6 linked regions of the Kluyveromyces lactis genome follow. The protein of the gene in region 5 binds, or shares a complex with, the protein of the main gene of each other region. Links are inferred from orthologs where the notes say so. Each region holds a gene or a part of one and is shown on either strand. Other genes may lie near its edges.

Region 1 (3,787 bases), on a different chromosome or scaffold from region 5:
AAATTTAAACACTCATACAATGGAACTATTCCCCCAGTCCAATCGATTGATCTTCTATCTAATATTATAACGATGAGAATACCAATTAGAATCAGTGCTAATCTAAATATACTCACGAAGCACTAGTACGTTTAACGTAATTGACATACTTGTATATATTTATATTTATTTGTCCATATGAGAGGATTTGATAATGGCAATGGCAATGGCAATTGCCATTGTCATATCATGATGGCACGGACGGAAAAAAAATTCAGGAAACTTGAGAATTAAAGGGAATATCGAAGACAGATAAACATCTGGTGATGTCTGTGGAAGCCTATCAAGGACCGCAATCGTTCTATGCTTCATTGCTGCATTGCTGCATACGGTGCTGATACCGGAATGGAGCAAGTATTATTATAGGTAACTACAGAGAGCGTTAAAATGAGAGCGTTTTATCTATATATTATGTATGTACACACAGTGTACACACAATGTACGCACAGTGTTCGTTGAAGCTACCATAATTGGAACATTCTATTCATTAATAGATACATCTTGACCAGCATATCCTGTTGTCTTTCCTGAGCTGAAGCAGTGTTTGAAAGAAATGGGTTTGGAGGAGGGTCCATGATAGGAGGTTTTGCTGCTAGATTTCCTTGATTTATCTGAGATATTGTATGTAAGTTACAGTGTATTCTTTTCGTATATTGGATTAGTATTTGTTCCATTTGTTCTTTGGACAGCGACGCGAGTGTCGGTACCTGTCTGCTTTCGTACATGGTTCTTGTTTCTTGGGATTTTTTGATCAACATCGAGTTGATATGAAGAAGCACTTGTATTTTCCATTGTAGCTTCTGCTTTGGTGAGACTCCTGAGTCTGATTTCAGGTCTATTGCTGGGTTTAGATCTGTCATGCTGATCTAGGGTGGGTGCAGGGTACTTTTCCGTAGTCGTCAGTCAGTCGATCTTTTTATCTTTGAACTTCCTTCACTGTCAAAGTAGTAAGACGAATTAAAACGTGATTTGAATTATTTTCAAGCGGAACGAAAAAACCACTAAGTATCCAGTTCATAATAGCGACTAAAGGCACTCCAAGATCACAAAAATCCCTGGGCTGCCATATCTATGTACACTAGACACTCGTGCTCTATACGGTCACCTATTCATAGGACATAAGTTTCTAAGTTTAAAACACATTCAGTCACGTGTGTAACACGTGACTGATAAAAAAGAAACAGCAAGAGTTTCTCAGCCACTTTGATGACGAATGCTCTTCCTCCCTTACTGCCACCCCTTCAACGCCTCAAAATGCCACCATTACATAACTATAACTATCGATTCACATTATTCCCCCACATTATGAAATCCCAAACAATGTTTTCAGTTACAATAGAAAAAGCTCAGCCAACAAATTCTTAGCCTTAGGCCACAACGAAGGACGCATAAACTGAATTCCTACCTAATTCCATAGCCAGACGAAAAACGTACCATCTCTCAGTTTCTCTCAGTCAAGTTACCGCATATTTTCGTGGGTTTAAGTCACAAGACGGACCAGTTCCCAGCGTAGGAACCTCACCCATTTCTTTTCGGCCCTGCTGGCAGTACGTCCGATCAGAAAATCCACCATAAAACGGTTACCTTTCAACTGGAAACTCTTTATTACCGAAACTGTTCCTTGCCATATTAGTTCTTTTCTTTTCGAATTGCTTTACTAAATCCGCAGCCATCTTAAAATACGTAACTCTCTGCAAAATAAAGTATTAAATATATATACAAATATGTCCATCCATTTTGTTGATAGACGTTAATGCCAACTAGTAAATCTTGTTAATCTTGTGATGTTTGATACTTCATCTAGTCGATAACTTAAGTAGTGGCAAGGTATTAAGAGGAATCCAGGCTTAAGCCACCCGCTGTTTATTCTCTTTGCCTTGTGGTTTTTTTCAGGTTTTTTTCTGGTATTTCTCTTTTCGAATCATTTTGCATATCAAAAGTTTCTCTAAGGTTTCTCAAGGTTCTATCTCATCGTCCTTTGATAGTATTTAGTTAACAAGCTTTCTATTTGTTTGTCTGTGTGTGGATTTTCGTTTTCAGCTGAAAGTTCCCTACTCCAAGACATGGAGTGCTTACTTTGGATCCCGTGGTTCATCAAAAGGGTATATTTGGGTGGTGTAAATCAACGCAATGTCTTCACACTGGCTTTGAATTTTTGTTTGAATTTCTCACCAATCTTTATATGGTTGTTTATGTTCAAGAATGCAGGTGTCATACCTACCAATTGGCGACCACCCATTTGGGGTAGCGTCGCTTATTATTGTGATGCGTATATTTTTGGTGATTACTGGCATTCTCTTGATACCAGGTTGGAATTCGTGGTGTCTCTCGTGAGCAGTAGTATCATCGGTATCTTATTTGCTGTGGTGCCATTGTTCATCTGGTACTATGTTTATTATACCAAGAAATTGAGGCATAACCTGTTCGATGAGACAGACGTCTTGCTACAATACCCTTTGAATTATATCGGTTCATCTCAATTCCGACCTAGCAGGATGAGAAACGTGTTACCCTTTCTATTCTTGTTCTTTACATTTGTGATGTTGAATTTCGATCACCTTTTATCCAGTCAGGATCCGTCGAATTTCACCAAGTTCAAGGACTTATTGGCTTGGGTGATGTACGTGATTCTGCATCTCACTGGGCCCATTCTTACTGGTGTGTATTTGTACGTTTTCCACATCCCAGGTACGTTGAAATGCTTCTCATTCGCATTAGGTTTACAAAATATCGTTGGGCTCTTCACTCACTTTTTATTACCAATGGCTCCACCATGGTTCATACATATGTACGGTGCCCATGATACGGCTCATTTGAACTACAGTCAACCGGGTTACGCTGCTGGGTTGACTAGGGTCGACATGCATCTTGGAACTCATCTCAATTCGAATGGGTTCCATCTCTCGCCAATCGTGTTCGGTGCCGTGCCGTCACTACATTCGGCTATGGCTGTACAATGCTTCTTCTTCCTTTTGTTCAGGTCTACACAAACGAAATCTGTGCCGGAATCGATCGCTACGGATGCTGCTCCTGTCATTCTTCAAAAGGATGAAGATGATGACTATGAGATGGATGAAGAACAAGATGAAGAAGAACAAGGTTATACGAATGTTAAGGTCCAACCTAACAAATCCATTATTCCCTTCGAGTTCGAGGATGACGATTTTGCTGATGATAGTGACAGCGTCGAAAGTAAACTCGTTTCACATATTAATAGCATAACTTTACAAACAACTAACGGTGGGGATGACGACTTGGAAGCACGCGCAACGACTTCTGACTCGGATTCAGAACTAAATACGTTGGCTGTTGCTAAAATCCTTGCCAAACAGCAGGTTTTGCCAGTTCATATTCTAGAGTCCAAATGGCTCTACATTTTCCATAAAGGTCTGTTACCAAAATTTTTGGGTACGATTTTCGTATGCTTACAATGGTGGTCAACCCAATATTTGGATCACCATTTCAGATACGATTTATTCGTCGGTGCCGTTTATGCTGTAATCTCATACATCTTGATCAACAAATACGTCTTGCAACCAAAAGTTATCAAGCCTTGGCTAATAACCAGGGCTGATCCTACCTTGGACAAAATGAAAGAGTCAAAAACTATGGGTATGAGAGTTTTTGAAAACACTAAGATCGAATGGTTTTTCGATCCCTTGGCATGATATAGTTGAACAACAAAAATCAACAAACCTTCGGATACGGTATATCAAACGTCTCGTACGTTTGCATTGATTCATTTTTT
Region 2 (4,916 bases), about 540 kb from region 5:
CAGCGGAGGTTTGGTTTTGGAGGAAGGGAGACTTCGTTTAACACCAAGTGCATCCAGTCAAAGTTCGATTTGGCACAAGACTGATTATCAAATTAAGGACTCCTTCACCATAGAATGGACTTTCAGAAGTGTTGATTTTATAGGGAAATCTGAAGGTGGGTTGTCCTTCTGGTTAGTGGAGGGTAAAAGTGCAGGAGGAACTTCTTTATTCGGTGGACCAGAGGCGTTTGATGGGCTTCAAATTTTGGTGGATTCCAATGGGCCCGTGGGTAGTTCTGTTCGTGGTATCTTGAACGACGGGTCTAAGAAATTGACTGAAAAAAATGTGTACGATCATTCTTTTGCCTATTGTTTGTTAGCCTATCAGGATACTACTATTCCAACCACTATCAGATTGAGTTATGATAGGAAGAACAATAACCTATTGAAACTTCAAGTCGATAATAGGGTGTGTTTCCAAACCAGACAAATTCAATTCCCACAAAATGCGAAAATGAAGATGGGTATCACTGCAAAGAATGATGCTAACAAGGAATCATTTGAAGTCCTGAAGGTACATACTCATAACGGTCTTACTAAAGAAGTTACAATTCCAAATGTTAACCCTATGGAACAGCCTAGATTGGTAACAAAGATTATCAACAAGGATACTGGTAAAGAAGACGTTGTAGAAACAGATTTCATGAAAATGAAGGGTTTAGCAAATAAGGTGGACAACTACGAACTTTACAAGAAATTGGATAAGATTGAGGGCAAGATATTAGCCAATGACATCAGCGTGATAAACGGTAAATTAATTGGCATCTTGGAAAATCAAGCAGCGCACTTGAGAAAGCTAGAATATCTATCAACTACTTTAGAAGTTATTGTGGCTTCAATGGGTAAAGAAGGTGAAGTAAATACAGAATCCTTCAAGGACCTCTTTGTTATGAATGATAAGTTGGAGCAATTACTTCAGGATCAAGCAAAGATTAGAGAGGCCACCAAACAAAGCATGGAAAATGCTGGAAATGGCGTTTCAGTTGACGAAATCGTCAAGAGACTCTTAATGTGGATTTTGCCTCTAATACTAATCGTTTTAGTTATGGCATACTACACTTTCAAAATTCGTCAAGACATTGTTAAAGTTAAATTGTTATAATGAATTATCCTCTATATATATCTGCAGCTTTATTGCATAGCTTTCTACTAGCAGTATTTAGTTCGATATAGATGAAGTTGCATTATTATTCTAAGGTTTTTCAACATAAGGTGGCCTAAACCCTGACACATTGGAGTATCCCAAAAAATTTGGATTCGGTACTCGCTTAACGGTACGCTTTTCATCTACATTCTTCGTTTCGTTTGGCACAATGCTCACATCAACATGGTTCAAAACTTGCTGTAGATATTGCTCTTTGTAATACGAAAGTTGATCCTCCGTAAGGCCAACAGGTGCACCGGCCTTATACTGCCAAAATTTAGTCCAACGGGTGTTTCTTAACTTTCGGACATGGCCAAGAGCTGTATTCAAATGAACAACATCATGGGATCGTTCTAAATCTTTTATTTGGTTTGGCGTCAATAGTTTTAACCTTGCAGGAAGTCTCGCCTTATTATATATCGGTAACCCTCCAGCACTGAAAGTTGTAGGTAACTCATCATTTGTTGTAACTGGTAGCTGCGTAAATTTCCATCCAGGAATTTGAGCCAACACATCTGTCTCCTCCGGGGGAACATAGTTAGCTTTACGTCCTCTACCAAAGTTATGAGATTCTACCGGGTGGGTGTGCGTTCCAATCGGGGAATCTAGAACATTGTGTTGTTGAGCAGCGGCGAAGGAATTCTTATAGTGGTATTTTGGAATTTTGTAAATAGTACTCAACTCGATTGCTCCATGTATAGTTTGACCCGATATGATTGCAGTTTGCTCACCATGAGCAATATTACTTAAGAACTCTTTACGTGCTTCTAAAGGCGGTAGTTCCGTAATGGTTGAAAACGGGTCTTCGAATTGCGGTTGTGATGTGGACATAACGCCCGCTTGTGCTTGCTTCGATTCAGGAAGCTCAGGTGGACCTAAAGAATGTGCTGTTCTAGTCCTTGGATCGATCGAACATACCATGTCGAGAAGTTTTTGAGAGAGTGCGTATACTCTGTGCTGCGCTTGGAAGCCCTGTTCTTTGGATAGTTGTTCCCAGTAATCATCTATCACTCTTGATCCGGATGCTAGTATAGCAGCTCCAAAGACAAGAAAAGCAGATCTAGCTGTGATATATGTTGCAGCAGTAGCACCTTCAGGTAAAAGTTTATACTGGGTCAAAAATTCGATAATATCATGTTTTGCATTAATTGGGTAAAGGTCTGGATGCTGAGCCAAAAACTCTTGTTGTTCCACATCTAGATTCAAGACTCTAATCAAATCCCGTACTAAGACGTACAAATTTTCCGAATTATTGTTTTCCGCACATGGATAAGTGAAAGTAGGAAACAAGTAATGCCTTTCTCCATGTAACCGTCCTTGTTTATCAACCTTCGTTTCCCCATTTTGATCACCCTTTCCCAAAACATAAGAGTCATTGTTGTCTGATAACCTTTCCTTAATGGTGAACGAAGGTAGTACAAGTTGCTTTGTTGGTGGCTTGTCAAGTCTGCCGGAGAGTAATTCAGGGTTATTGAGTATTGATAATGTGGTTTTCAAAATAAAAAGCTCATGGTTCTTTATGACATATTCTGGCACCGGATTCACCTGAGCAGTGACAGATGAGTTAGTACTGGAGTCCATTTTTCCAGCATGTGAAGATAAACAAATAAACGTATCCTGTTCAACAGCCAGAAAGGTCTCGTGGTGTTCCAAATATAATTAGGATGGATGAAAGTGTCGCAGCTTATACCGTCTATTGAATTCTTTCACGATGTACTTTGAAAGATATGCATATGTTTACGTTTATGTTAATGACAGGCATTCGATAGTTAGATTACATGTTGAAAAGACCCAATTTCAAAACAATGGAAAATACATAAAGATACTGATCACGTGATGACCAGCAACTGACACAGCAAATACCCGACAGTTAGGTTACATACAAACTAACGTATCTAAAATATAGGAATAAAACGGGATTCTTAGATAATAGTGCCGGTGGCTTCAGATGTTGGTAGTGTCATTCATTGAGCCAACTTAAGATTTGCAAGAAGTTCTTCTGAGGCCTTGATATAATTCCTGGCGTAATCATCAGTAAAATCTTTTGATGGAAGGATCGGGTTAGCATTCTTGTCAAACATGGCGCCTGAATGAGTTTCCAATTCTGGGGCAACTAGCAAGGGGCCTAACTTTTCAGCGTATTGCTCTGCAGTCTGATTTGTCATACCTATGAACCATTCTACCACTCTTGACTTCCAAGTGTCTTTACCAAGGTAATTATCTCTAATATTTGTCCTGATGAGCCCCGGATTCAACCCATAAAAATTGACAGTAGCAAACCTATTCTTAAAGTCCAAAACTAGAGCTTCATTACCGGCTACTGTTTTCATATGTGTGGAAATAGCTCCGTAAGATTCTTCTGAATTCAAATCTCTATAATCTCCCATATAGTTATCACCGGGGAAACCCATTACAAATACGCGAGGTTTTTTCTCACCATGTTCCTTCAATCTGGGTACCAAATGATTCATCATCACTAGTCGGCTGATATAACTGACGGCCAAATCTTCTTCTAGACCTTCGCTAGTCTCACGTCTCGCTGGAGGAGCCAAAACTCCCGTAGTGAAGATAAGAAGATCCAACTTTTCAGCAGGTAACAATTCCGCAACTCTGGATGCCTCTGACACCAAACCTAGGTCAGCCTGGATAAATTCAATACCTTCAACATTTTCGTCTCTGAACGTTCTACCAACAACGATGACTTTAGCACCCTTTTGTGCCAACACTCTTGCCAACTCACGGCCAATACCGCCCGTTCCTCCTACGATAGCAACATATTTATTATCTAAATTGAGTTCAATCAATTTTTGAGCCTTCGTATATACAATATCAGGATTGGTCTTCATGGTTGTTTGATGTAAGATTAGTCCGATGCAATTACAATAGATAGTTCCCCCTTGACTCTTGGTAATATTACTGTGCAAGCTGCATATCTGCAATCAACGTTGCACTAAGCTACCTTAAATAGTATCTATATATGATTTCTTCGACTTATTAGTTACGGCGGTGATCTTTTATCGACAATATGTCTGACTAATGACATTGCGATTCGTCCTGAAGATTGTGAACTGGTTTGGCTGTCAACCATCACCCCTATGAGGGGCCGGCCCCTTGAAAAACCGCCTCCATCACGTGACTGAAAGATCTCATGTAAAACTATCTTGAACCACCAATCACCGCGTATTGCATTGGTCCTACGGAGAGTTTGCTTCAAAGTAATCTCGTTCAAACTTCGTTTCCCAGATGACTGTATTCATCAACATTTGACAACACTGCGCAGCGACTGAATGTCTTGCTTGGTTAACCTGGCTCTACAGTCAGCGACAATTCCATTTTCAACAGTATGCTCAGAAGGGTGCACACAAATTGCACTGAAACAAAGTAAAGTTAGAAACATAAATAAAAAATATAAATATCAAATATAAATACGGTAAAAAGAAGGGGCGATTAATTTTGCCGTTTATGCAATAACCTTGTTTTAAGGGTATCAATGTCTGAATAATGTCATCGATAATAGAAGTGTTGACATAACTATATTAAAGACAGGGTAGACGGTCAGATATATAGTAGTGTCAGTATTTTGAACGGAGAGGAACTTGATTAAATCTATTATACAGTTTCCCCCAAAATTTTTCTGAAATTGTGCCGCTAACTGTTCATTAAACGGTGCTTTCTTACAACAAAAAAATAAGCATGCATTTGAATTTCCAATCTCTTTTGCCTCTAGCTTCAT
Region 3 (5,559 bases), on a different chromosome or scaffold from region 5:
AGCTATGCTATCATCAAGTAACGATTGTATACTGCTGAAGCCAGCTTCTTTCCACAATGACAACGCATGCTCATATGTAGACAAATTCATCGCAGAACTTGTTACTGGGTCCTTAATAATGCAAATCCGACCTTTACAACGAATACCAGTATCATTCAATTGTTCTGATATTGGGAATATTAAATATCGTATTCGTGTTTAGTTAAAGCTATTTTTTTTGAAGGTTTCCAATATTTTCATATTTTAAAGACAATATAGCATACGGACATAATTCCTGAAGACAAGGTACAAAGGAAAAAACAAGTAGGATTTACTCCAACGAAGATGTTGCATTTGGACAAGGAGAGGCTTGACTTTTTGTGTTGTTTCAATAGTTTAAATTAATATAATGTTACGAGGCTATATAATACATGAATATTGTCTATATTATTAACCTGACCAATAACGATATAACTGCGGTGACTCAATCGATATTGGTTTGTTGGCGGAGTCTAGATCATCAGAATCTTGTAGATTACCCGATTGGGATGTGATACTTGTCTTTGGTGGATCAGCAATTATGGTACGTAATTCGTGTAATTGCTGTTTGATTTCTGGAGATTCCGGAATTTGCTTCAGTAAAGATTCAAATTTTCCCATAAGAGAGTTGGCATACTTGGTGAAGCTTAGCCTTTGAATGAAAACATCTTCTTGCTTCCTATGCACAGCCTTGCGCTCTAGTTCCAAGGATTTTTCCATGGTATCAAGAGCCTTCAACTTCAAATCGACTTTTGTTAGTTGAGTATTGATTAAATCATTTGTCGTCCTATTCATCAATTTTTCTTGGTTGGTAGCGAATACATGAGAGCGTAGCCCCAAGGTAGCTAGAGCGACTTCTGTGCCGTCCTTCACTGTTATTCTAGCATCAGATTCAGCATTTGTGACCGTTACTGCTTGTTCTTCTGGCAGCTCTTGTTTTTCCGATGGTGTTTCCTTGTTTGATAATGCTTCATTCTCTAAAGATTCTTCTTGATGAGGTTCTTCCACTGGAATCGCTTCTTCTTGACTACCTTCCTCTTTATTCTTTTCTTCCGCTTTTTGTAGCCCTTCTTCTCCTGTTTTTTCAGCTCTTACTTCTGTTGCTTCTTTTTCTTCATTCTCTGGTGTATTTGCATTTTTCTCATTTGAAGTGTCAACAGTTACATCTGAATTTGCTACTTGTTCTGCTGCTGGAGCAGTTCCTTCAGTTGCTGTGGAGTGATCTGCGGCATTTGAATTTGCAGGTTCAGATTTTTCAGCTCCCGTTTCTGTATGCTCAATTTCCCTGGCGTCAGTTTTTATTTCTTCTTTTTGTTCTTCTTTTGATTCCTCTGTTTGTTCTTCTTTTTGTTCTTCCTGCCTTTCTTCTGCGTCTTTTGCTTCCGTGTTAGCACCCGTATTAACATTAATGTCATGAAGAGAAATGGCCCTTTTAGTCAAATGCTGAACAATGTTAGGATCGACTAACCCTATTAAAAATGCCAACGTACTCATTACGGGGTTGTCAGATTTATTGAAAGGAATATGAGAACCAAACTTCAAGAGTCCGAGATCTTTTTCATCCATCAAAAATGCATCTTCAATAGGCAATTGTAAAAACCTTAAAATACATTGCTCCGGAGTCTTTGTTCCTAGAGTTTTGGCAATGTTAAACCAATCGGTGCCATGCTCTTTAATAAGTTCGATAAGTTTATAGATTTCTTCTTGGGTCCAATCTTTGTCAATCAGTTGAGAAATCTTTGGTCTTTTGGGTTTGCGATCGTTTCTCTCAAGGTCGGCATTCACTGGAGACTCCTTTTCATCCTTCAGGCCGTAGTTCTCTGGTCCCACAGAACCCGAAGCCGTTTTGTTAGTGATACCATTAACGTGACTGGATCCCCCGTTTGACAAATCTTGAGTGTGCTCACTGGAGATTTCATCACTAGTCCTTTTCAAAGATGATGGTTCCGAGGGTTTGGTGTCTAACTGAGTCATTATCTTTTTTAAGCGGGTCATATCAGGAAGTTGTAGGGCCGGCTTATAAGATTGGAATGGGAATAATCCACGCGGAGCATCGTATCTCGTCTCATATTCACCAGTGAATGGGGGTTCAACCATTTTAGGTTTCTTGGTAGCATTTACTTGATAGTTGATCAATCCCCATTTGGTTAAGAATTTATGTAGTCTGAAGAGGGCGCCCGCGTCTCCACAAAGGTTTCTTCTAGCTGCAGTGACTGTGAAGTATTCATTTGGATTTAGTCTATAAGAGTTTACCATGAAGTTACGATATTTGACGTACATCTGGGGTGTCTTTGAAGGTATTCTATTAGTGAAGAATTCCGGTAAAGATTTCACTTCGATTTCATGAACTTTGGTCAAATTAAACCACTTCGAGTATGAAGGGATTACAATTTCATGGGATTGCGGTACAAATAATTTTGGATCAGCAGTATTACTTTCTTGCTTTACGGTTATATTTGATTCAGGAGAAGCTGATCTCGATTCTTGTTCAAGAATACTATCTACTTCAGGTTCTGCTTCTGCTTCAGTATTGTGCTCTTTATCAATTTCTTCATCAACTGTTGTCTCTGTTGTAGTATGTACTGGAGCATCTATACCAGAATCGGGCTGCCCTAAGTCCTTCACGTCTGGTAATTTGGGGTTTTCAGTAAATGATTCTGGTTCTGGTGCTGGCTCTTGTTTGTCATTGGCAGTTTCCAGTTCGTTCTGTGCAGGTTCTACCTCGCTCTGTTCAGTTTCTATATTTCCAACAGGGTCATTGTTCCCCTCGCCGTTCGAATCGCTTTCCTTTTTAGTTTCTGGCAACGCGATTTCGTCATTCTCTTTATCCATTTGTTCGTCCTGTTCTTGTTCTTGTTCTTGTTCTTGTTCCTCATTACCTGCTGCGGTAGTATCGTCTTCTTTAGATGGGGATTTCAACAAATCAGATTCGGATGCTTCATTAGCAGGGTTTTGTTCCTCGGGTTCTTCCTCAAATAGATCTGCATCGTCCGCGTCACCGTTCTCATTATCCAGATTCGATAAAAGCTTATCGTTTATTCCTTCAGGGAGGTTTTCGGCCAATGGTGCATCGCCGAACTCTTCAGGGAAGTCTTGCGGCAAAGATTCTGAGAATTCGTTACCAAAATCATCAGGTAGATTAGGTTCAACGTCCATGTCCAAGTTATCATCAATTCCTCCCATATCTACATCCTCGGTATGGTCTATCAAACCAGGTTGTTCTGACGTGTTTTGGGTATTCTCTACTGAGCTCTGAGTTTGTGCAGACTCAAGAACAGAGTCCCGTTGTTCGTCATCTGCCATTAAAAAATCCGTGTATAAACTATAATCTTCCTCAGGCGAATTGCTTTCCTTCACTTGTCAACAAAGAAGTGGAGTCAGAATAACTGATGAGTGATGACAAGCTGAAAAGTAGTAGCAATGACGCGAAAATTGATCGATGCTTTAGATTGAACTGGCCCAAACCTGACTTAATGTCTGTTTACTTGAAATTGTTTATTTTAACATTGTTAAAACAGGACGAAACATCTTTCCTAAGGAAGACCATTTGTGTCCGGGTAATAGATGATACCTTTGTGCACGTGATATGTTAAGTGTTAAGATCCATCTATACGAAAGTATACGAGATAGAAAGAACTATTACGTGACAACTCTTTTATCATATACGAGATAGAGAAGTACAAATAGAAGAGAAGAATCAATCTTATGCCAACTCATAGGATGATTAGGCATTATATAATGGAAAGATGATGGTGGGGAGAGGGAGGAATACAGACCACACAACGGTGTATAATAAATAGTCAATTGATGTCAGATACAGATAATATGAGCGAAGGAATATCATCATGTCAGGGTAACACTGAACAGAGAGCTTCCGGGACTCAATATGGTAGCGCCACAGGTTCAAACAACAAAAAGCTGTTCAACAATTACTCAATCAAGGAAGTAACAGATGAATATAGTTCGAGTATTACACGGTACCTAAAAGATAACATCTTTAGTCCTTTCCCGTGTGAAAAGGCAAAATATGATGTTCATATCAGAGAGGTCAAAACAAAAGACTTCTTAGAAAAATGGTTGTTTGATATTTATAAATACTTCACTTATTGTGGGTATGAAGATAAGTTTGACTTCTCAAATACAACTCTATTCGACGGTATCAATTCAGATCAAGTCGCATGGTGGCAAGACGTATATGAAAGAGTAGTATCTCTACCAGAAAACCCAGAATGGTTGGAAGCTCATCGAGAGAAATTCCGTGAGGATTATGCCGACATTCCCACCATTGCTATGGACTATATCCATAAGAAATACAATCCTTATTTACTGGAGCATAGAGTCAAATTCTTCGAAGTAAATCCTCGTTACAAGGTGAAGGGTTTAATAAAAACTTTAACAGACTTAGTTGAAGCTTTCAAAAAATGCAATTTACCTCACTTGGATACTATCCTGGCCGACAAAGTGTACAGACATATTATGATTTACCATGGTTTTGATAGCATACATCCCATCAGCAAACCACCTACAAATCAAACCACTGAGATAATCCTAGAATTAAAGAAGGAATTGAGGTTTAGCAAAATGACTAAACAAAAGAGAACACTCGAAAACACTGATAGGAGAATCGATGACAGGAATAAATCCTTCAAACAACGGAATAAATTCTGGGACTAGAAAAATCCCAAAAACTACAATGGTCATCCAAACAATCTTACAACCGACAACTACTGATTCTTGGTAGGAGGAGTGGAGGATAGGATATAAGTGGTTCAAGTATCAGATAAAGACTACTTTATAACGGATGAACCTGATCCACAAATGGATTTTCATATAATAGTCAATTTAATGATTAAAGAGAGTCCGGACTCCAATTTTGACCGTATGAAACAAAAAGGACGTTTCTACATTTCCTCAATCCAGGCGTTACAAAGTGTACCACGGATAGCACAGACCAAAATAGATAGATCACTAAGCTATCAACAGGCACTCTCAAGGAATGATAACCACACTGAACGTAAACAATTCAGAGAAGCTTACTGGTCTGTAATATTCTAACTGTGCAGAAGAGAAACATGGAATCAGACTTTACTTGACATCAAAGAGGTAGAACCAAAGAAAGGTCTTAACATGATGTTAATCTTCATTACCGTAAAGAATGCGAAGACCAACACGATGATTAACCTACAAAAAAGGGTTGGAGGCCAATAAAATTCACTAATATGCATTAACTACAGTGTTGAGTTTAACACAACTAGATATAATAACCGCGTGGCTATTATCAGATCTGAAGAAATTCTAAATACAATCGTGTGGACCAAACCCTATCAATCATCGTTTGTACATTTGTAGAAGACATCACATTCATTGGCACTGATCAAGGGCAATTGACACATGTATGGATTCAATAGTCGTGAATAATGGCTTGATGGAGGAGAATGGCGTATCCAACAACGACTTACTCGGGATAGATATTGAGTACAGAAGAAATTATCATATTAAATTCGAGATGAAGAATATATGATCCCCACAAGCATCCGCTAT
Region 4 (5,733 bases), on a different chromosome or scaffold from region 5:
ACCTTCATCCTCAGGCTCTGGATCAGAGTCCTCTACATACTTCTCTGGTGCAAGGTCCGTCCTTCCACGGTCCCTCGTTTCTCGCTTCATTGCTATGATTCAAGATCCCCTCTTCTCGATTATTCGTCAAATATCAGCTGCAAATCGCCCAAATTAACCGCTCTATGTCGAGATCAGTAAAAATGGCACTATAGAACAGCCCTGAAACTTCTGGAATTCACTCTTGCCCTCCGCATTGCATACATAGAAACTTTAAAACATCTGTTATCCAAGGTGGCTCTACTTATTCCTTTTAAGTCTTTAATCAGTTGGAACACTTTTTCCTCGTTCGAAAAGTACATAAAACAAAAATATCACGTGATCCAAACACATACATAAATACATACATACATATATATAAACCATTTAACGTATCATCACCTATACTCTAGCGAACCAGTCTTTGTGAGGTACTTAACACCTTTGAACGGTTTTTTTGGACCTCCATTAACTACGTCGATTGATTGAAGTTTGATTCCGGAGGGAAGCTGGGATTTGTGTTCGTAGTAACATTTGATGAAACTAGGTTGTAGTAAGGATGTTAAGTGTGAACTAGGTGGTTGAACAACCGAAGATCTACTAGATGTTTGGTCATTGGAGGCGAGTTCGGGTTCCAGTTCCGCTATACAACGTAGTACAGCCATTGAACCGCATACCATGTTTTTGTCCAAATGCCAATTAACTTCGCCACGAGTCATATTTGTTTCGACACCGCCGTGAGTGTTTCTCATGACACGTACTATTCCCTTAAAATTTCTATTCATCCTGATAGTCATGCTCATGTTTTCTATTTCTTTCACCGTCGTGCTCATTCCAACGGTGACGCGGACCTCAAATTCGTCAAGTCTTTTACCTAAACTGCTTTGTAAATTTACGTCTATAATGCCGAGGTTTGAGTCTCTTTTCACCAACGGTAGGGTATATTGACAGAGCCTAGTACGTCCATCAGGAGGTACAAACGTTAGCTTAGTGAATTTCCCAGCGATTAAATCATTTATGCTGTTCGCCTTATCCTCTAAGATGCATCTATGGAAAGTCGTGTTTAAGTGGCTAAGCTTGTGGTCTAAGAGCCCAAGTTTCATCTCAACCAATGGCTGTCCGCTGAGATGGTTGTTTAAGTCGATACAACCCTTGATATGTCCGGTTAACAGTTTCCCCTTTTCCACAATAGCGTTAATTTCCTCACTCATATCGATGAATATTTCGTTATTAGCATAGTTGATGCCGCTCATTCTCCATGGGACACCAGATTCATCAACGGAATGATCAACTAACGAGGAGCCAGGAGACCCAACGTGGAACGAGGAAACGGATGAAGCGGATGAAGATGGATATCTACTGCCACTAAACCTTGATTTTTCCGGACCATTCTTAAACATTGACCCGTCCGGTTGTTGTAAGGTCTTGGTAATTGTATTGGTTGTCGTCTTCAACAATTTCGATAAATCGTTTCTACTTGGGACCATTGCCTTTAAACGGTTCGAGTCTGTTATCACCGGTTGCCCAGCATCAAGGATACAATGGAAAAGCATCGATAATCGATCGAGGTTATTATTTATCTTCTGCTTCGTTAATTGGTCCTTATCGAAATATTGTAACAACAGTAAATCTATCTCTTCTAACAAAGATACCACGGAAACTGTGGACTCTGAACACGAAATTAAACACCAATAAACAACTGGATTCAGCAAAGAAACGTGTCTGCAAAGCTTCAACTCAGAATTTATCTCATTGCAGTATTTAGACTCCCATGATTCGTCTTTACCTTGTAGTTTAACAACTAGTTGCCGAAAAGTAGGGCACTCTGCTACTGTTGAGTACTGGAATAGCGTTTCCTGGCACCTATCATTGACATATATGCTAACAATCATTGTAGCCAATTGCTTAAGTTCACTATGATAACCAACTATATGCGGATAACCCGCTGTATCCTGTTTGCTTGCCTTAATTTTTCATTAGGTTGTTCCATCTCGTACTTCTCTTAATCGTTAATCAAAATTTCGTGAATTTCATGAATTCAAAGAACGAAAGAACAAGACCAACAACAAACTTTAAAGATCAACAAGAAATTCTTGTTTTTAAGGGAACTGAACACCTTTCAGGTAGGCTTCAGAAAGGGTATATTTGACAGCATTTGGTTGAGAATTATCGCAAGAAAGAATATACTAGTTTCCTTCTGTGTTTCCCTTTCTGTCTGCAATTGAAAACACTAGTTGCAGTTTTGTTTCTCTATATAAGCTGAAAGGAGAATGTCAAACCCACCAATGAATCCTGGCAATGCGAACCCTTTGAGTAACATAGGGACGCCTTCCTTTTCGCTTTCGCAGGTTCCACAACATATCCTACAATCCTTGACGCCAGCGCAGTTGCAGATGATTCAGCAGAAACATCAACAGTTGTTATTGCAGAGACAAAGACAAGCACAGCAGATGCAGCAAGAACAGGTTTCTTCTCCCGGTAATATGAACCAATTGGATGCTGCTCAGCGTGCGCAGCTAATGAAGCTCAAACAACAACAAATGCAGAGATCTCAGACGCAGCAGCAACAGGAGCAACGAGCTCAGCAGGTGCAACAAGCCCAGCAATTGCAACAACAGCAGGTTCAACAGCAACAGCAGCAGTCTCCTCCCCAATCTCAACAACGAACTTCTTTGAATCTTCCTCCACAAATTGCACAACTATCACCGGCATTGCAAATGCAATGGCTTCAGTCCATCAAACAACAGGCTATTGCGAGAAATAACCAGAACGCTCTTCTGATGATCACTCAGCTTGAAGTCAAATTACAGCAACAACATAGACAGCAACAGCAACAGCAACAACAGCCTGTACCACCACAACAACCTGTTCAGCAGCAACAACATCAATCCCCGCCACGCAACATTATTCCTCCTAACCAACCGCAGCTTCAACAGCCTCAACCTCAGAAACCTCGTATACCACTTCAGCAACAAATGGGGAATCCACAACAAATGATTGGAGGTCAACCTATAACTCAGAATATACCAGTTATGAACAGTAATCAATCGATGGTTCCTTCGTCACAACAGCCACAATCACAACCACCACAACCACCACAACGACAACCACCACAACGACAACAACAACAACAAGTCCCAGTTTCAGTACCACAGCCACCTCAACCATCACAAGCTGCAATACTACAGCAAGTGCTTCAGAAGTTTCAGAAACAACTTCCTGATATTCCCAAATTCCAAACTATTCTTCAAGACCCACCTGAGACTCCATTACCTCATACTAGGTTATGGTCAGAGAAAGAAAGAGCTGATAACGAGCCTGTGAGTTTTGATACAAGATTATATGAACATGTTATTGAACGGGATTTGTTGGATAAGGACAACTTGTTGGCGGACACTAATGGATTGGAACCTATTTCCAAATTCGGATTCAGTCAGAGGGAGGTAATATTGAGATTACAGCAAGATCTTGATTATTACAAAGAATTGAGGAACAGTCGAATGCAATCCATTACCAACACAACTCAAGGACATAAATCTAAGAGTATATGGGGTGACGGTTATTCTGGATATGGAAATGGCTTCAGTAACGATCTCACAAGGATTCAAGTCGATGACACTTATGAAATGCACTTGGACGAAATATATGAATGGACAATGAATCAAACAGGGGAGGAACTAGTACCTGTTAGATTAGAGTTTGATGCAGAAAAGGATAAATTTACTTTGAGGGACACATTCGTATGGAACAGATCAGACACGCTACTGTCAATCAACGAATTTGTGAAAACAACGCTGAAGGATTATAGGCTCAAAGTCACCACGGAGATGTATCAACAGATTGTGAATAGTATCAAAGAACAACTTCAAGAATATACTCCAAATCCTTTTGAAAATGTGCAGAGGTTCGGGGGCGATGATTTCAGAATAAAAATCAACCTAGATATTGTCGTTGGACAACATCAATTGATAGATACCGTTGAATGGGATGTGTCAAATCCAGATAATTGTCCAGAATCGTTCGCGGAGTGTTTATGCGAAGAACTATCCCTTCCGGGTGAATTCTTAACAGCAATTGCACATTGCATTAGAGAACAAGTTCACATGTATCACAAGTCATTATATATGGTTGGTTACAAATTTGACGGTAGCCCCGTTGAAGAAGACGATATCAGAACAAGATTCTTGCCTGTACTCACCTTAGCAGACGTAATGAGACCACAAAAGGATACGTTTTTATACACACCTAACTTATTACAGATATCTCCCGCAGAACTAGAACGTTTGGTTAAGGATAAGGACAGAGACACTAGAAGGAAACGTAGACAAGTTCGTTTCAATAGAAGAGGCAATACAGAAAATCACCCATCGTCCGGAAGTACACCGCAACTACCCCATGATGCAGAACTTCCTGATCTTGGGGATATCCCAAAAACGTGCCGTCAACTACTTCCAACAACAACTTTGCCTGGAGGTATTGATGTTGGTCCAAGTACGTTATCGTTCCAGCCATCAACTAGAGTCGAATATTTAGACAGAGCTAAAGCAACTCCAAAACAAGAATTCCAACAGGAAGTAAGAAACTCATCAGCATGCAGAGTTATTATGCACGACGTTGGGAAATCTTTACTCGTCACTATAAAGCTACCAAAGGCGAAGACAACCATTCAATGAGTAATTCGCTATATATATATATATGTACATATGTATTTATGTGGTACCACCTGTAACAATTTTAAGAAATACTATGATAAATAAGCTAGAAGAAAGAGCACTGAAGATAGCTATGAGAGACCGAACGCCGATGATCGCGGGCTTACTCGAGGGTCTTGACACGCACCTCTACGTATATCGATATTTATGTGTGCCTGTTTCATTCTTTATGGTGTAAGCCTCTAAATTTCATAAACAGCTCAAAACCAAAAAATATATTTAGTAATGGAAACGTTAACATTTGAACGAACCAACCCTTTTAAGAAACTTGGTATGCAGAGGCCACAAACTCATCAAAGCAGCCATATTTGAGTGTTACTCGAGGGTAGTAGAGTTTACTGAGATTATCTACGCGGCGAGTATGTCTGAGCATTCGGAATTCGTAGCCGGAAGTGGCGTTGGCAGGAGCCAAGATGAAGTCGGTGGATCTTCCTCAGTGACTTTGTCTCCTTCACAATCGCAGTCGCAGCTGCAAACACAGCCAGAAACCGAATCTTCAAGAGCTGATGATGTGGAAACAGGGACAACTTCGTCGTCTTCTAGACTGCACCAGATGAATGGGCAGTTCCAACAACATTTGAACTTTGTTGCCCGAAAGTTCAATATATTAGATAGACTGTTTAGAGGCGGCAGTTCAAGCGAGCAAGCGATGAGGTTACAAGTCGGGGCGAGTTCTGATGGTGTATTCAGTAATCTTATGGCGAAACCTGAAAGGAACGGTATCAATGGGAATGGGGAACAGGATAAGCCTCCTACGTATGACGAGGCTGCGGCTGATATGGCTCCACCATATTACGGTATAGACGACGATGGCGTTGGATTGTATTACAACGAAATTTGCATCGACGGCCTTCCAGTTGGGAATATATTCAATTTCTTATGGAACGTTGTGGTCAGCTTCAGTTTCCAATTTGTCGGGTTCTTGTTGACCTATATCTTACATACATCACATGCAGCTAGGCAAGGGTCCAGGTTTGGACTTGGGGTAACTTTCATTGGATAC
Region 5 (5,537 bases):
TATAATCTATGATGCTAGCTCTGCATATATATTCTTACAGACTTGATAAAACAGCTTCATTTCGTTGGACATGAATATATTTGTTGTTGGATTCATTATGATTGTCACAGCTGAATTGTCGCTTGGAAGTAAATTAGGGGTTTGTGACAACTCTTCTATTATCTTCTTTCTAGCTAATTTTGGATGATCCGAAATCAATGCTAATTCAAGACTCTTTTCTAGCATTAGCCTAATCAACTGAATAGCTGTACCACTGATAATACTTAAAACGTCCTTGAACTCTCGCAAATTAGTGTTTTGCATTGCAATATTAGCAAGAGCCTCGCTAATTCTACGAAGGCTTACTCCAATATTTTCTTCTGCTGTGAGCCATTTGCATGGGAGGTTATGATTTTTGAAAATACAGTGCTCCTCTTGAGCATCGATAAACTTTACAATGCAAACAGCAGCTGTCAGAGCTTGTAAAATAGATGGAAGTGAGTCTTCAATCAGATTAGGGATTTTATTGATTTGTTGGAAGGGGATGGTGGAAATGATAAAAGAGAAAATGTCATTAAACAACTTGAATTTTTCGTCCCCGTTATACAAATCTAAAACCTGCTGGCATATGTCATCATCGTCATTTTCTTCAGTGAAAACACCAGTTAATACTGACTTAAAATGTGCTCTATTTGGGTAACCAAGAGAAAGAAGTTTAGCCAAGACGTCCGCACCGTATGTCTGACATTTTTCAACATTCATGGTGTACTCTGCATATGTCAAGACGCTATTCTCTTGAATATGATCTTTCGGATCAGCGAAGCTCAACGCTAGCATTATGATTAACAAACAAGTTACTGTTGATTCAATTTTCAACATATGTGTAATATTAGATAGAATAAAAATCAAATCCTTCTTGAAGTTTAAAACCCTGCGCTCAAAAATAAACTCATCTCTATGAATGAAAACCATCCAAAGAGTATCTGCAATATATTTTTCCATGTGGTAATTATTAGCCATTACCTGTGAATTCTGTTCGTTAAATGAAAGATTTCTCAAGATCATTGAAATTGTTGTCAATTGGTCAACAATCAACAAGTGCGGATCCTCTGCTCCAGAACGGTGACACTTGCTAAAGATGGATCCGACTTCCGTTTTGACTTTAGTTAGAGAATCCATATATGAAATGAAATGTAGCTTTTTGATTTCATCGAGATTTTCGTCTTTCAACAAATCAGGTAAGTATTCAATATCATTCTCATCTTCGTCCTTCTCCAGTGAGACTTCAGGTAATGTCGCATCGACTTCTATTTCTGGTTCCGTCGGTGTGATCGGAAGTTGAGAAAAATCTATACCAGTTAAAGAGTCTACCTTTACTGTATATTCAGATTGATCTTCTCCAGATTTTTTGACGCTTTCCTTGAAAATTTTATCAATATGAGTATCAGAGGAATCCGAATGTTTGGGAGGCGTATTAATCCACTGCTGTTCATCATATTCAGTATAAGACCCTGATATCCTTGAATAATCCTTCTTCAATAGTTTATGCAGTAACTGACACGCCAAGATACAGAGGTTATCCAAAAGCTCACGACATTTATCGAGTGGAATTGATAAAGTGTTATCGGAGCTAATAACTAATAATGAGTTTAGTGCGGTATTGACTTCCGGGTTATTAGAACTTTGTAACTGCATTGCAATTGCATTGATATTGACGACACCAAACTCCGGCGCAAAGAGGAAGATGGGTTTAAAATTATGTATCATCTCACCAAGAGCTGAAATCTTTGAAATATCATACCCATTTTGCGTGGTGATGGCTCTTGTGGTGGGACTATAATGCCTGGCCATCGTTCTCTTATACACCTTCGGAAGCTTCTTAATTTGCTCTTCACGACGTTTCAAAATAATTTCCTGTTGTTTCTTCAATTGTTGTTCGAATATGAGCTTTTGCTGCTGCTGTTGTTGCTCCGCTTCTTGTTGTTGACGCTTTTGCAGCTCTTCCATTTGTTTTCTTTCCTGTTCTAGTTCTTTCTTAGTCTTCTTCTTCACTCTTGGCTTCTTAGGCTGTTTAGGTTTTGCTTGTTTTGGGACGGTGTTCTTTGTTTTGCCTTGAGCCTTAGGAATCTGTTGTTGCTTCATTTGTAAATCCGGTTGTATTACGTTTTGACCCTGCATAAAAGACTGATTTTGCACCTGCGGTTGGAACTGCGGTGTATTCGTTCTAATGTTTCTTATAATGTCCTGAAGTAATTGCTGTAACATGATACGATTGGTTTGAGTTTCTTTAATACCTTCTGGGGTCATCAAGTACTTTTCGTACGGTAGTAAATATCTGTAGTACGTCTTTGCCAATTCTTCTCCAGCATTTGGTCCTTGTATATTCATCTTTTTCGCCAATATGTGCCATTGTTGTGCTTTAGTGACGTTTTCTCCTCCGTTAAGCTTCTGAACATACATGTATAAGATGAAGAAACTGACCTGGGTACCATTAATCATTTGAGCAATATCTGCGGGTTGATTCTTTCTCCTGCAATGTTCCAAAAATGATTTTCTAAATAGTTCAAACTGTTTGGTGTTTAATTCCTGACCGACTTTCCGTTGAATGGCTGGATCTAGATTTTGTAGAACGTTTCTTTGGTTATTAGACTGATTCTGTACTTGAGGCGCATGTTGTTGCATTCTCGCCTGTGCTTGCGCTTGTGCTTGTATGTGCGCTTGAGCTTGGGCTTGAGCTTGAGCCTGTGCTTGTGCTTGTGCTTGGGCTTGAGCTTGAGCTTGTGCTTGAGCCTGTGCCTGCGCTTGAGCCTGTGCTTGTTGCTGCTGTTGTCTTAGTTTCTGCTGCTGTAATTGGTTGAATGCCTGCTGTTGTTGCAACATCTGTAGCTTTTGTTGCTGTTGCTGTTGCCTCTGTTGATGCGCAGCAATTATTGCGGCTCTATCCATATACTGAGGGCTCTGTCTACTAGCACTCGCCTGAGCTAAAGACTCATCGGCCATTGTAGGGGATCCACTTGGCACATTTTGCGGCGTTCCACGCTGCGATAACATCTGCTGTAAAGAAGTAGTGCCGGCGGGAGACTGCGTCGGTGCTACATTGGCTGTATTCATAGGAATTGGTCCTGCGGCTGGAGAAAACATGGATTGTGGAGAGATAGAGACTCCACCGTTCTTCATCGACGGAGGTGAATTGACAGTTGAGAATGAATTTCTAGCCAATATAGCCTGGGGCGTTACGCCTGCGTTAACATCTTCCATCGGCCCTAAATTACTATCAGGTATACCTTGCTGGTTGGGTGCGCCTGAGTTATCAAGGAAGGAAAGGTACTCATCACCGTTCGAACCTCCTTGACCGAAAAGCTGGCCATCGCCAGAATTCATTGGATCACTCTCGTCCGGGAACAAAAACTGATCGTCCATCCGTATGTACCAATAAAGTTACCGTTTGACCCTTGATATCAGGGGAGAGAAATCACGCCTAAATAAAACCTAAAACAAGGGAATTATATTCATTCTGAAAGTAGTGATAGTCAAGTGTCAATTGAATTCATTGAATACAATTTCGAGTTTCCTTTCGTTGTTTTGTTTTTGGAAAGACAAGAAAATTCCAGGTCACGTGATTTTGTCAATTATTCTATATCCGGGTAATACATTCGATCACGTGTATAACTTACCCGGCCGCGGCCGGGTAAGTAAAATATATTTCCCATTCTGCTTTTCTTTTTCAAGCTCATCGCTCTTTTTTTTTTGTTTGGAAAATTTTCATTTCGAAGCCAATAAAGAGAGATGAGCTTTCTGACCAGTGAATATATTGTATATTGTGTTATGTGCACAGCGATATTTCAATTAATACTTGTCTGTATTATCTTGAGTTTTGTTCATTCATTCCGAAGTTAGTGTGTGTTGAAGAGTCCAGATCAAAGAGATTTTACGGTAGCGAGGAAACTTTATTGATCAGAGAATTAAATAATGGCTCCTATTGAATATCTTTTGTTCGAAGAACCTACCGGGTATGGTATCTTCAAAGTGAAATTGCAACAGGATGATATCGGATCTCGTTTGAAGGAAGTCCAGCAACAGATCAATGATTTCGGCTCTTTCACTAAGTTAGTTGAGTTGGTTTCTTTTGCTCCTTTCAAAGGTGCTGCTCAAGCTTTGGAAAATGCTAATGATATTTCTGAAGGTTTAGTCTCTGAACATTTGAAAGCTTTGTTGGATTTAAATTTACCAAAGGGTTCTTCTAAGAAGACTGTTACTTTGGCTATTTCTGATAAGAACTTAGGTCCATCCATTAAAGAAGTTTTTCCATTTGTTGATTGTATTTCTAATGAGTTAGCTCAGGATTTGATTCGTGGTGTTAGATTACACGGTGACAAATTATTGAAAGATTTACAACCTGGTGATTTGGAAAGAGCTCAACTTGGTTTGGGTCATGCTTACTCTCGTGCTAAGGTTAAGTTCTCTGTTCAGAAAAACGATAACCATATCATTCAAGCCATTGCTCTCTTGGATCAATTGGATAAGGATATCAACACTTTTGCCATGAGAGTGAAGGAATGGTACGGTTGGCATTTCCCAGAGTTGGCAAAGTTAGTCCCAGACAATTACAAGTTTGCTAAACTCGTTCTATTCATTAAGGATAAGGCATCTTTGAACGAAGAATCCTTGCACGATTTATCGGAAATTTTGGATAACGATGCTGGTATCAGTGAAAGAGTGATCGATAACGCTCGTATCTCTATGGGTCAAGATCTTTCTGAAACTGATATGGAAAACGTTACCATCTTCGCTAAGAGAGTTGTCTCCCTTGTTGAATACAGGAAACAATTATACGATTACCTATGTGAGAAGATGCACACTGTGGCTCCAAACTTGTCCGAATTGATCGGTGAAGTTATCGGTGCTAGATTGATCTCTCATTCTGGTTCTTTGACCAATCTTTCTAAGCAAGCTGCCTCTACTGTCCAAATCTTGGGTGCTGAAAAGGCATTGTTCAGAGCTTTGAAGACTAAAGGTAACACACCAAAGTATGGTTTGATTTACCACAGTGGTTTCATCGCTAAAGCTAGTGCTAAGAACAAGGGTAGAATCTCTAGATATTTGGCTAACAAATGTTCTATGGCTTCTAGAATCGATAATTACTCCGATGAACCATCTAACGTTTTCGGTCAAGTGCTAAAGAAACAAGTTGAACAAAGATTGGAATTCTATGCTTCTGGTACCCCAACTTTGAAGAATGAATCTGCTATCAAGGAAGCCATCGAATTGTACAATAAAGATAAGCCAGCTCACGAAGAAGAAGTGGATACGACTGAAGTCTCCAAGAAGAGAAAGCTAGAAGAATCTAACGATGAAGAAGACTCTGAACAAGAAGAGAAGAAGGAAAAGAAGTCTAAGAAGGACAAGAAGGACAAGAAGGACAAGAAGGAAAAGAAGGAAAAGAAGGAAAAGAAAGAGAAGAAAGAGAAGAAGGATAAGAAGGAAAAGAAGAGTAAGAAAAATAAGGATTAGGTTGTGTCAACTTTTCAATCATTTTCCGAAGATTGATCGACTTTATT
Region 6 (3,864 bases), on a different chromosome or scaffold from region 5:
TTAATCATGTCTCAAGGTAGAAAGGCTGCTGAAAGATTGCAAAACAAGACAATTTTCATTACCGGTGCTTCTGCAGGTATTGGTCAAGCCACAGCATTGGAATATCTAGATGCTGCTAACGGTAATGTCAAATTGATCTTAGCAGCAAGAAGGTTGGCTAAGTTGGAAGAATTGAAGGAAAAAATCAATGCTGAATACCCACAAGCTAAAGTATATATCGGTCAATTGGACGTCACTGAAACTGAGAAGATTCAACCTTTCATTGATAACTTGCCGGAAGAATTCAAGGATATCGATATTTTGATTAACAATGCCGGTAAAGCTTTGGGATCTGATGTTGTCGGTACCATCAGTAGCGAGGACATCAAAGGTATGATAGATACTAACGTTGTTGCCCTTATCAACGTTACCCAAGCTGTTTTGCCTATTTTCAAAGCAAAGAATTCCGGTGACATCGTTAACTTAGGTTCTGTTGCCGGTAGAGATGCATATCCAACTGGTTCTATCTATTGTGCTTCGAAGCATGCTGTCAGAGCGTTCACTCAGTCTTTGAGAAAAGAATTAATCAATACTGGTATTAGGGTCATTGAGATTGCTCCAGGTAATGTCGAAACTGAGTTCTCTCTAGTTAGATACAAGGGTGATGCCGATCGTGCTAAACAGGTTTACAAAGGTACTACTCCTCTATATGCAGATGACATTGCTGACTTGATCGTTTATGCCACTTCAAGAAAACCTAATACTGTCATCGCTGATGTTTTGGTATTTGCTTCCAACCAAGCATCTCCTTACCACATTTACCGTGGCGAATAGATAATCACGTCAGAAGATGTGTTCGTGTAACACATTTTTAAAAAAACTTATACAGGTATACAATTAGTAACACATGTAGCACATGTAATACAACAGTTTTGATAACTGGATATGGACTCTTTTGCTGTAAAGATTAAGCCCAAACGCCAGCCTTTTTTCTTTTGAGCATTTATTAAATTCAAAAAAATGCTTCCAACCAGAGTCGAACTGATGATCTCCACATTACTAGTGTGGCGCCTTACCAACTTGGCCATAGAAGCTTATTGTTGTCATAAAAAGAAAAAGGAGAAATTTATGCCCTTCCTATTTTATTATGGCATCAGAGACCACAAGTCACGTGTAATGGTCTCCGTTGGCTGTATATCTTCGGCAGTAATAATACACCAGGGACCTCTTGATCTGATTACAAGCAAACAGTAGATTAGGCTCAGTATTCCTTTATATGCTTTGTCATGTGTCGGTTACGCAAAGCCAATGCTAACCACCTATTATATTGGCATGGCCTGTTCCACCAACTGTCTAATATGATTTCTATTCGTTTTAGTTTGAACATTACGAAGATTATCAGCCCTACATGGAAAAGGATTGAAATTTCAAATATCTATTATTATGTTAGGTATGATTACATTTTTAATTAGTGTTTAGTTAGCTATATGTTTTATAGTTTATGTAGTGTAGTCTCCGTGATCTTCTTCCAAAAAAAAACACTATACAGGTGTAGATGGTGGTATCAAGGGTGGAGTTGCAAACTCTTCATCAAATTCACTAAAGTCCACCTCTTCTTGTTCGTTTGTCATTTCTTTCCACTTCGCGATCACTGCATCTTCCAACTCCAATGAGTCCCTAAATATGATTGAATCTTCTGTGTTGTATATTCTAGCGTTGGCAAAAATCAAATGGAAATCTTCGACAACCTGTTTCAAAGAATCATAAACATTCAGATCAATGTGTTTCATGACATTTTCAAATGCGGCAGGATATTTGATCAACAAATAATAGTCTGGATAGAGTCGTTTGGATGGTTTCACTAGGAAAATATCTGAAAGTCTTCTATCATCGGCATTTCTATAGTATACAGCATAGTCGTACAATTCACGAGCTTTTTGACTAATTTCTTGTCTTTCTTTCAAAGTTTTTGTAGCATTATCTGCTGAACGCAGATAGTTTCTGCCATTCTTACGAACGGCAGTTGAAGTTTTCTTCCTACCCTTGCTGGTCTTCTTTGCAGTCTTAATTGAAGTTTTACCGGCAATAACACCAGATGGAGCAGAGTCTCCATTTGATTCTTGCGGATCTAAAACAGGAGTATTTTCCGTTCCTGTAGCTGGACCGTCAAGTTCTTTGTTTGTCTCAAGTTTTGCCCTTTTAGCATTATTTTCAGCGGCTCTCCTTCTCCTTCTCTTTGGGCCAGCGTCACCTTCTTCATCTTCATTTTCACTGACTTCAAATTGCCTTAACCATTGTTCTTCAGATAATTCATCAGAGTAGTGCGCAGTTCTTCTCTCTCTATTACCTCTTCCTCCAACAAACACGTTCTGCTTTTCCTCTTCTGCAAGCTTTGCTTCAATGTCAACATTGTAACATTCAGGAAGCTCTGAGTTCTCCATAAGTCTGTTTGTTATACCGTTTTCCATCTGTGTTCTGATCCTTTGAGCATCCAACTCCTGGAATACTTTTATTTCATTTTCGTTTCTCGCCAAGATTTCATTGAGTTCGTTATCATCCAACTGCTCTTCTTCTTCAATGCCTAACTCACGTCTTTTCTTTTCCTCTTCCTCAGCTTCTAGTAACGATCTCAATAATGCCTCTTGTTCTTCAGCTGTTGATTTGTTATCAAACTTACCTGCTTGAATAACTTTTCCGTCAATGTCCAATTTGGCATGCGCCTTATCAAGAATTGCTTCTTCCACTGAATTGTCTGTAATTAATCTAAGAATACGCACTTCATTCTTTTGACCGATTCTATGAGCTCTGTCTTGGGCCTGTAAATCCTGGTGAGGATTCCAATCAGTATCAAAAATGATAACGGTATCTGCAGTTTGCAAATTTAAACCTAAACCACCAGCTCTTGTAGATAAAAGGAAACAGAAATAATCAGAGTTTGGGGCATTGAAAGTGTTTAATAATGCAGTACGATCATCAGATTTAGTATGACCGTCTAATCTTAAGTATTTCATGTCAAGATATCTCAAGAAATCTTCCATGATATCCATAACTTGCGTCATTTGGAAGAAAATTAGAACTCTATGACCGGTAGCCTTGAACTTTGGTAAAATACGTTCTAGCAGTTCGAATTTACCGGCACTTCTCCAAATGGTATCGTTCGTTTCCCTTGCTGGATTGATTTGATCTTCCACTTCTTCGAATACGAACGGATGATTACAAATCTTCCTGAGTTGCATGATTTGATTGTTAAACCCACGAGAACTAGAGAACTTCTGGTTACTTGAATCATCAAAAATGAATAGCCTACGATGCTTCAACATCTGTTGGTATAATTTGTGTTGTAATGCACTCATCTTACATTTCAAAACCTTTTCTACTTTATCAGGAAGATCTTTTTCAACATCTTTCTTTAAACGACGAAGCAAGAAAGGTCTGAGTACCTTATGTAATCTTCTAATGACCAATAAAGTTTCTTCTTCGCTCAATGCTATCTTGTCTTGACCACCAGTGTTTGCAAACGGTGTATTGAACCATTCATCGAAAGATTTCACAGAATTGAAAATTTTTGGCAAAACGAAGTTTAAAAGGGCCCATAGTTCTGGCAAATTATTCTGTAAAGGGGTACCAGTCAAAATCAAACGATAATCAGAATGATAATATGTGTTCAAAGTTAAAGAAAGCTTAGATTGAGCGTTCTTCATTCTGTGACCCTCATCAATAATTGTGTGAACCCATTTTATCTTAGAAAGTAATGGACGCTCTTTGATAATATATTCGAAGGTTGTTAACACTACATCAAATTCACGATTTTTGATTAACGCTTGTTTAGGTTTACGTTCCATTGGAGGACCCTTGAAAGCTATCTTCCGCAACTTAGGTGCCCAT

What was found.
Region 1: SWI1 (region 5) and SNF11 share a complex: the UniProt entries of both Saccharomyces cerevisiae proteins name them as parts of the SWI/SNF global transcription activator complex. The link is inferred for Kluyveromyces lactis from reciprocal best matches to the Saccharomyces cerevisiae genes SWI1 and SNF11.
Region 2: SWI1 (region 5) and SWP82 share a complex: the UniProt entries of both Saccharomyces cerevisiae proteins name them as parts of the SWI/SNF global transcription activator complex. The link is inferred for Kluyveromyces lactis from reciprocal best matches to the Saccharomyces cerevisiae genes SWI1 and SWP82.
Region 3: the proteins of SWI1 (region 5) and SWI3 are in contact, whole or in part, in a cryo-EM structure (PDB 7C4J), measured with the Saccharomyces cerevisiae proteins. The link is inferred for Kluyveromyces lactis from reciprocal best matches to the Saccharomyces cerevisiae genes SWI1 and SWI3. Residues at the interface, in NP_015309.1 of Saccharomyces cerevisiae: Arg670, Leu671, Lys672, His673, Tyr674, Asn675, Gly676, Tyr677, Pro694, Phe696, Leu697, Glu701, Leu702, Gly703, Gly720, Glu721, Thr724, His792, Asp793, Met795, Val796, Asp797, Ile799, Phe800, Val803, Asn804, Glu1197, Lys1267, Ala1270, Ser1271; in NP_012359.1 of Saccharomyces cerevisiae: Tyr310, Ile322, Gln325, Ser326, Leu327, Pro328, Arg380, Lys383, Phe384, Lys387, Trp388, Pro419, Arg420, Gly421, Leu422, Phe425, Leu598, Pro599, Phe600, Ser601, Glu604, Asn605, Lys702, Glu705, Lys706, Glu709, Leu710, Lys713, Glu716, Arg717.
Region 4: the proteins of SWI1 (region 5) and SNF5 are in contact, whole or in part, in a cryo-EM structure (PDB 7C4J), measured with the Saccharomyces cerevisiae proteins. The link is inferred for Kluyveromyces lactis from reciprocal best matches to the Saccharomyces cerevisiae genes SWI1 and SNF5. Residues at the interface, in NP_015309.1 of Saccharomyces cerevisiae: Arg662, Tyr664, Pro666, Leu667, Asn669, His673, Gly676, Tyr677, Asp678, Tyr681, Ile682, Ile685, Lys688, Ile689, Ser691, Asn692, Lys693, Pro694, Ile695, Phe696, Leu697, Phe698, Ala699, Pro700, Glu701, Leu702, Gly703, Ala704, Ile705, Asn706; in NP_009848.4 of Saccharomyces cerevisiae: Pro316, Pro317, Glu318, Ile342, Ile343, Asp346, Asn349, Glu356, Thr357, Phe368, Ser369, Asn370, Tyr373, Ile374, Leu377, Trp378, Thr380, Leu381, Tyr384, Gln385, Leu387, Lys388, Arg391, Ile395, Ile407, Trp408, Tyr412, Asn417, Ile419, Thr420.
Region 6: the proteins of SWI1 (region 5) and SNF2 are in contact, whole or in part, in a cryo-EM structure (PDB 7C4J), measured with the Saccharomyces cerevisiae proteins. The link is inferred for Kluyveromyces lactis from reciprocal best matches to the Saccharomyces cerevisiae genes SWI1 and SNF2. Residues at the interface, in NP_015309.1 of Saccharomyces cerevisiae: Ser659, Ile660, Val661, Arg662, Asn663, Tyr664, Lys665, Pro666, Leu667, Ile668, Asn669, Arg670, Leu671, Lys672, His673, Tyr674, Tyr677, Ile695, Phe696, Asn718, Leu719, Gly720, Asn723, Leu726, Asn727, Leu730, Val731, Ser733, Ala734, Asp735; in NP_014933.3 of Saccharomyces cerevisiae: Leu427, Leu430, Ile438, Lys439, Val440, Val441, Asp442, Ile443, Asp444, Asp445, Pro446, Val450, Asp451, Ser452, Phe453, Thr454, His474, Ala475, Phe477, Thr478, Ile479, Glu480, Pro481, His491, Glu553, Trp554, His555, Gln556, Asn557, Ser558.

What each region holds. Positions count from the first base shown.
Region 1 is NC_006041.1:899,251-903,037, forward strand, and holds SNF11 (Snf11p), read right to left. Parts: upstream 900-3,787; coding exon 501-899; downstream 1-500. Other genes in the region: IPT1 (inositolphosphotransferase), read left to right, coding at 2,103-3,707. UniProt on the Saccharomyces cerevisiae protein: Involved in transcriptional activation. Component of the SWI/SNF complex, an ATP-dependent chromatin remodeling complex, which is required for the positive and negative regulation of gene expression of a large number of genes.
Region 2 is NC_006040.1:502,679-507,594, forward strand, and holds SWP82 (Swp82p), read right to left. Parts: upstream 2,765-4,916; coding exon 1,232-2,764; downstream 1-1,231. Other genes in the region: KLLA0_D05863g (uncharacterized protein), read left to right, coding at 1-1,141; KLLA0_D05907g (putative short-chain dehydrogenase/reductase), read right to left, coding at 3,148-4,029; PEP4 (proteinase A), read left to right, coding at 4,877-4,916. UniProt on the Saccharomyces cerevisiae protein: Involved in transcriptional activation. Component of the SWI/SNF complex, an ATP-dependent chromatin remodeling complex, which is required for the positive and negative regulation of gene expression of a large number of genes.
Region 3 is NC_006037.1:579,968-585,526, forward strand, and holds SWI3 (Swi3p), read right to left. Parts: upstream 3,322-5,559; coding exon 430-3,321; downstream 1-429. Other genes in the region: CCAAT displacement transcription factor COY1, read right to left, coding at 1-90; KLLA0_A06446g (uncharacterized protein), read left to right, coding at 3,826-4,692. UniProt on the Saccharomyces cerevisiae protein: Involved in transcriptional activation. Component of the SWI/SNF complex, an ATP-dependent chromatin-remodeling complex, which is required for the positive and negative regulation of gene expression of a large number of genes.
Region 4 is NC_006041.1:1,665,280-1,671,012, reverse strand, and holds SNF5 (Snf5p), read left to right. Parts: upstream 1-2,288; coding exon 2,289-4,691; downstream 4,692-5,733. Other genes in the region: CTI6 (Cti6p), read right to left, coding at 1-90; APM3 (Apm3p), read right to left, coding at 417-1,910; BSD2 (Bsd2p), read left to right, coding at 5,092-5,733. UniProt on the Saccharomyces cerevisiae protein: Involved in transcriptional activation. Component of the SWI/SNF complex, an ATP-dependent chromatin-remodeling complex, which is required for the positive and negative regulation of gene expression of a large number of genes.
Region 5 is NC_006040.1:1,041,129-1,046,665, forward strand, and holds SWI1 (Swi1p), read right to left. Parts: upstream 3,400-5,537; coding exon 7-3,399; downstream 1-6. Other genes in the region: snoRNP complex protein NOP56, read left to right, coding at 3,949-5,490. UniProt on the Saccharomyces cerevisiae protein: Involved in transcriptional activation. Component of the SWI/SNF complex, an ATP-dependent chromatin remodeling complex, which is required for the positive and negative regulation of gene expression of a large number of genes.
Region 6 is NC_006038.1:744,466-748,329, reverse strand, and holds the end of SNF2 (SWI/SNF catalytic subunit SNF2), read right to left. Parts: coding exon 1,521-3,864; downstream 1-1,520. Other genes in the region: ORA1 (oxidoreductase), read left to right, coding at 7-813. UniProt on the Saccharomyces cerevisiae protein: Involved in transcriptional activation. Catalytic component of the SWI/SNF complex, an ATP-dependent chromatin-remodeling complex, which is required for the positive and negative regulation of gene expression of a large number of genes.